2 linked regions of the Sus scrofa genome follow. The main gene of each other region encodes a partner of the protein of the gene in region 2 in a complex. Links are inferred from orthologs where the notes say so. Each region holds a gene or a part of one and is shown on either strand. Other genes may lie near its edges. The genes, in order: histone H3.2 and ASF1B.

Region 1 (2,546 bases), on a different chromosome or scaffold from region 2:
GTGCTGAGGATGCAGGCATAAAGACAAAAGGAGAGGGGGGGAAAGCAGAGGGTGGTAGGGAGGACCCAAATCACAAACCCTTGAAAGGCAGGACTGCCTGGTTTTACCCGACAGAAACGAGGACGGATGGACAGACGGACGGAGGTGGCCATTTCCCTCCCGAGCCAGAGAAACGCACCGGGTTGGCGTGGGTGTGGGGGGAGTGACGACGCACCCATACTCGCGCGGCTCCCAGCTGCGTAAAAGGCCAGGCCCCTGCGCGCCCTGGAGCGCGAATCCTGAGCGTCCCCTAGTGACCCCGCCCGGCCTCAACCCGTCCTCCCCGCCCCCCCCGCCCCTCCCTGGAACAGACTACGGTTCTGGGCCGCCGTGGAGACGCCTTGCCCTTTGAGGAGGACCCATGGCCGCGCCCAAGAAAGCGGAGAAGCCAGCTGACCAAACTCTTGAAGGACTCAAAAGCTTCTAACGCGCCAGGAGGCGGCCAGCAAGCAGGGGGCTAGACCGGACACCTGGCCTCTAACCCACTTGGGTACCCGGAGCCCAGTCAGTGCTTCTGCCGGCTCGAACATCCTCCCTTCCCCGAGCTATGGGAGAGTCCGCCGGACAGAGCGCGGAAAAGTGGCACAGCCTCTTCCAAGTGCGGTTGTGGGTGGCTCTGAAAAGAGCCTTTGGATGTGATGGAACCTCGAGCCGAGTGCGCACTTCTTTCTCTAAGCCCGCTCCCCGCGGATGCGGCGGGCCAGCTGGATGTCTTTGGGCATGATGGTCACGCGCTTGGCGTGGATGGCACACAGGTTCGTGTCTTCAAACAGCCCCACCAGGTAGGCCTCGCTCGCCTCCTGCAGCGCCATCACGGCCGAGCTCTGGAAGCGCAGGTCCGTCTTGAAGTCCTGCGCGATCTCGCGCACCAGGCGCTGGAAGGGCAGCTTGCGGATCAGCAGCTCGGTCGACTTCTGGTAGCGCCGGATCTCCCGCAGGGCCACGGTGCCCGGCCGGTAGCGGTGGGGCTTCTTCACGCCGCCGGTGGCCGGCGCGCTCTTGCGGGCCGCCTTGGTGGCCAGCTGCTTCCGCGGGGCCTTGCCCCCGGTCGATTTGCGGGCAGTCTGCTTAGTACGGGCCATGGCGGCGAGCCAAAACACGAGCTTACCAGCGCAGCGAAGGGAGAGTAACCAGGGGGACGCCCGCCGCAGCAGTCTTTATAGGCACAGGCTTGTCCCGATTGGGCGGGACAATAATTGAAAGTCCCGCGCTGGCTCTCTATTGGCTGTGACCTCACCAGCCCTAGCGCCACTGATTGGCTTGGGCAGAATCCTCCTCCGCCCGCCCCCCACCCTCCCTCCCTCCCTCCCTTTCTACTTTCCAGTTTGCCAGCAGTTTTCCCGGCCTCGTCTTTCCTTTCTTCCCGGCGAGAGTCATTTTTGAGCGCGACTGTGTCAGAACGTTCCTCTTCAGCCCTTCGCTCCCTTAGAACACGCTACCCCCGATGCCCGCCTCCTTTCCACGCTTTTTACCTCCCGGACCGAACCCCCGCCCCCTGAACGCCTTGTTACCTTGTCAGAACCCCCTAGGTTAGCTGCTAGTCTGGCCGATCTTCCCCCCCCCGCCCCCCGGCCCTTTGGTGCTTTTCGGATCGGAAGGTTATCTGCGCCCTCTCCGGGAGCAAGACTCCACTTCCGAGAGCCTCAGGACCTGTTATCCCCATCCCCGCCGCGAAGGCGCCTCCTCACTCCCCCCACTCCCCTTCCAAAGACGGTGGGCTCAAGCCAAAACCCACGTCCGCTACGCTCCCGAAAACCGTCTTTATCCCCTAACCGACTGGGGTGTACGGGGCGTGCGCGTGTGCGAGGGAACGTCCCCTTGGTGCTAGACCTCAGGTGTTGGGCAGAGGCTTGGGAAGTAACTGCAGTTGCTCACCGGGCATCCGACTTCGAGATAGAGCGTCGCGGCCGCCTGGTACTGCTTACTTTCAGCAGCCGAGTCGACCCTGGCTCGCCCAAGCAAGGTTTGCTACCTCTACCTGCGTTAATTAGATCCTAGGATTTGCCACACTCCCACCCGCACCCGCTTCCCAGCAAAATAACGGCTAAAGCACCTAGTTCCAGAGGCGAGTGAGGAACGGCAGGGAGTAGAGGGCAAACGGCACTCCCTCCGCCCACCTCCGTGCTTACTACCAAGGGTGGAGTTAAGGAGAAAGCTGGCTAGTGTAACAACTCTTTTTTTTATTTGAAAGAGTGGGTGGCTCTGAAAAGAGCCTTTGATTTCACAGGTGCCCCTTCCGGACGGGGCTGGGTGGGCTTCCGGATGCCGGCCTCACTTGCCCTTTGCCTTGTGGTGGCTCTCCGTCTTCTTGGGGAGCAACACGGCCTGGATGTTGGGCAAGACGCCGCCCTGGGCGATGGTGACTTTGCCCAACAGCTTGTTCAGCTCCTCGTCGTTGCGGATAGCCAGCTGCAAGTGGCGGGGGATGATGCGCGTCTTCTTGTTGTCTCGCGCCGCGTTGCCCGCCAGCTCCAGGATTTCCGCGGTCAGGTACTCCAGCACCGCCG
Region 2 (3,816 bases):
GGTTTCAGTCAGGGACAGCAGAACATTATACCAAGTGCAGGGCCCAGTGTAACTGCATGAATCACATGCCTAGGAAGCCAGCCCTGGTTGTCAGGTAGGGAAGTTGGGGCTGGCTGGTGGACCGGATATAGGTGGGTGAGGAGTTAGGTGATGGGATGAGGCTGCTTAGACTGGGGTGGGAATAGCCAAGATCAGGTAAGTGAATAGATTTGAGCAGAGGCTCTCAAACTTCAGCGTGTCTAAGAATCAAACTATATCTGCATTTCTGACAACCCCTGTGATGGTGGATTAGAGAGCCATTTAGCAACTACGGTGGGTCCTCATTATTCATGGATTCCACATTTATAAATTCAGCTATTCGCTAAAATTTACATGTAGCCCTGAAATCAATATTCTGGGGCTTTTATGGTCATTCAAGGACATGCACAGAGCAGGAGTGGGATTTGAGTAGCTCTATGCACATGTTCCCAGCTGAGGTAGATCAAGGCAGTCTCAGGCTGTGGACATGTGTCTTTTTCACTATGGTCTTAGGGCCACAGGTTCTGCATTTTTCTTGGTAATTTTGCTATTTAAAAGGGTTCTTGGGAGTGGGGGGATGGACTGGGGGTTTGAGATTGGCATATGCACACTGAGGCATATGGAATGACTGGCCAATGGAGACCGGCTATGGAGCACAGAGAACTGTACCCAATATTCAGTGACAATCTATGTGGGAAAAGAATCTGAAAGAGAATGTATGTATGTATATGCATAATTGAATCACTTTGTTGTACAGCAGAAATTATTATGACCTTGTAAATCAACTATATGTCAATAAAACTTTAAAAAAAGAAAAAAGAAGGGAAAAAGAAAAAGGGCCCCAAAGTCATACTGAGTCCCTAAAAGTGAGAGGGCTGGCTCTTTGTACGTTATGGAGAAAAATATGTGTGTTAGATAAGCTTTGTTCAGGCATGAGTTACAGTGCTGTGGGCTATGAATGCAATGTGAGTAAGTCAACAATAATACAAAACAAGGTGTCTTTAAATGGAAAAATGCATAAAACAATATTATAAATATTAACTGGTTGACAAAAAAGTGACTTGCAGGAACAGTCCTGCATTTCCTCTAAGGGCAATGGTTCAGCATTCACTAATTCACTAACTCAGCGTTCACAGTAACTTTACAGAACGTAACTCCCATGAGTAATGAGAATCAATTATAAATCAGGGTTTCATGGTAACATACAACATAAAGGTGGAGAAGGAGGTGTTTGAAGTACCTCTGAGAGGTCAGACAGTCCTTGAGAGCAGAGCCAGGATGTGAACCTGAACTTTGACTGATGAACCATTTTGTGTGCATTTGGGTAGATGGAGGTGTTTCAAGGTGTCAAGGCCTAAGGCCTGGTCTTTCTTACCTGAAAGACAAACATGTGTCTCCCTGCTGGGACAGGGCCGACCAGTACCGAGTCTAGGATTTGATCAAACTCCTCACTCTCAGCTGAGCCAACGTAAATGATCTTCCACTCCAGGTCTGCAAGGACACGGGGTGTTAAGTAATTGAAATAGCTTAGGCAGCAAGAAGGTTGTGCAAGGGTCTTCCTGTGTTATTTTTGGATAGGTCCTTAATATATTGATAGATTTTTATTCTCAAGAACATTTGACATCCACTAGGCAATAAGTGACAGGCACTATGATCCTGAACACTAGGGCAAGTGGGAAGCTCTGTTTTCAGTGGTGAAATTTTTTCTGTGGACCTAGCTTTGCCAGGAGACCTTGACTCTGTACCTCCCAGGAAACTCGGGCCTCTTAGAGCCTGAGGGTGAACCGTATGGCAGAGGTTGAATTAAGAGCCACGTGATGGAGCCTCAGAGGCATGGTGAGGAGGGAATAGCAGGGAGTTGGGCCATTTTAGGGCCCTGCCCACTGGGTGCTGGGATAGGAAGCAGCATCCTCTTTCACACACAGGGACTGGTGCCACCAAACTGAGTAGATCCCTCGACAACTGGGGCAGGGCAGCAGATTGCAATCCAGGAGAGCCAGCCGGCAGGAAGGGAAGATGAGGTCGCTGGGGGAGCCAGCCAGTCCCCAGGTCCTCCAGATCCAGTACCAAGTCATGCCTGCTCTCAGACATTCAGGCAACAGCAACTCAGTCAACACATGTGGCATCCTAAGGTGATCCTTGCAACACAACCCTCTTGATCCCATCCAGTAGGGGGGACCCCCATGCCTGGGGATGTTCCGGAAAGATACAAGGAAAAGTGCTCAGTGAGACCCTGCCCATCAATCACGGGAAATTCCCAGTGACCGCAGTGGCCTCTTGCAGGAGGTCCAAGTGTATCAGGGGCAAGGTCACGCTAGTACAGGGAAATTTGGCAGGAGACCTGAAACTTATTTTAGGTTCTTTGAAATTACACAATCTACAGCCCCAGCAGCTGGGGGAGATTTCACAAGCTGTGATTTTCACAGGAAGTGAACTGTCTTAGAAGCTGCCCTGTTCCTTGGTCTAATGTCCCACAAGAGCATCCAATTTTGAAAGCACAGCAATGGTGGGTTACAACTACAGAAGTTTGTCACCTGAGCTCCATGATCTTCCTTGATACACTAGATTCCTGCCCCTCTGCAGTTTACACCCTGGGCTTCTCCTACCAGACTCTACCAGGTCTATAGGATATGGTGGCCATTGGGCTCACTGGGGTTCAGTCAAACTCCAGTCTCTTATTATCTGCAGGGAGGAGCTAAGTTTATTGATTTTTGTGATAAGTAGTGACACAATTAGAAATAACATGTTTTTGGATGAACAGCAAACAAGCTAGCTCTGCTCTCATCTTTGATTTTTTTAGGGCTGTGCCCACAGCATATGGAGGTTCCCAGGCTAGGGGTCCAGTTGGAGCTGAAGCTGCTGGCCTGCGCCACAGCCATAGCAACGTGGGATCTGAGCCTCATCTGAGAACTATACCACAGCTCACGGCAACGCCAGATCCTTAACCCATTGAGTGAGGCCTGGGATCGAACCCTCATCCTCATGGATACTAGTAAGGTTCGTTAACAACTGAGCCATGACAGGAACTCCTGTTCTCACCTTTCTAAAGCAGCTCTATCATTTGGTATTTTTCCTTCTGGCCTTTTCCCCATCACCACTGGAGTGACATATGGGTGTATTTAACTAATGTGCTAGGGGGAGACAAAAAAAAAAAAAAAAAAAAGAAAAAAGAAAAAGAGATTACAATAGAGCAGGCCCTGGCACTACAGGCAAAACCTAAACAAAGACCGTGTAGGTGCTGATTGGAAGAGAAGAATCACAAGACCGGAAGAGAGAAACCAAGCAGCCAGGCAAATGGGTCATAGTGACTCCCTCTGCACAGGCCAGAAAGAAACCAGAGAACTAACCAGGACTACAACAGCGAAATACTTACTCAAGAGTTAGAAGATCTGATAAAATCATCTGTGGAGGATAGAAGATGATCAAAATGAGGATCTACAAATTGGAATTGCCTTAAACTTGCCTAAGTTTTTTAAGCAGAAGTATGCTTAAAAGTGACTTTATTTTTGTTAGATATGGGGTGTCAGTAATCAACACAGCAAAAACTCATTCCTACTGAATACAGGACATGTTTGCATACAGGTAACACTGTGTACTTAACCTTCTGAGAAATTTTAAGGGTAAACTGACTACATTACATTTTGTCTTTATGCCTTAACTTTATAATCTAACCACTGCACAAGATGGTCCTCCCTTATGTATGAAAGCAAACCCCAAACCAATGATGATGAAAGACATGTAAAAACAAAATTACTGTAGTTCAACTAGCTGGAGAATCTGTTCCGTGATTTTAAAAAC

What was found.
Region 1: the proteins of ASF1B (region 2) and histone H3.2 are in contact, whole or in part, in a crystal structure (PDB 5BO0), measured with the Homo sapiens proteins. The link is inferred for Sus scrofa from reciprocal best matches to the Homo sapiens genes ASF1B and H3C15. Residues at the interface, in NP_060624.1 of Homo sapiens: Val45, Ala48, Ser50, Glu51, Asp54, Thr87, Asp88, Val90, Val92, Thr93, Val94, Leu96, Arg108, Gly110, Tyr111, Tyr112, Asn114, Glu116, Leu140, Asn143, Arg145, Thr147, Phe149; in NP_001005464.1 of Homo sapiens: Asp107, Leu110, Cys111, His114, Ala115, Lys116, Lys123, Gln126, Leu127, Ala128, Arg130, Ile131, Arg132, Gly133, Glu134, Arg135.

Annotation. Positions count from the first base shown.
Region 1 is NC_010446.5:99,197,818-99,200,363, reverse strand, and holds histone H3.2, read right to left. Parts: upstream 1,122-2,546; coding exon 711-1,121; downstream 1-710. Other genes in the region: histone H2A type 2-A-like, read right to left, coding at 2,311-2,546. UniProt on the Homo sapiens protein: Core component of nucleosome. Nucleosomes wrap and compact DNA into chromatin, limiting DNA accessibility to the cellular machineries which require DNA as a template.
Region 2 is NC_010444.4:65,066,135-65,069,950, reverse strand, and holds part of ASF1B (histone chaperone ASF1B), read right to left. Parts: intron 1,510-3,816; coding exon 1,394-1,509; intron 1-1,393. UniProt on the Homo sapiens protein: Histone chaperone that facilitates histone deposition and histone exchange and removal during nucleosome assembly and disassembly. Cooperates with chromatin assembly factor 1 (CAF-1) to promote replication-dependent chromatin assembly.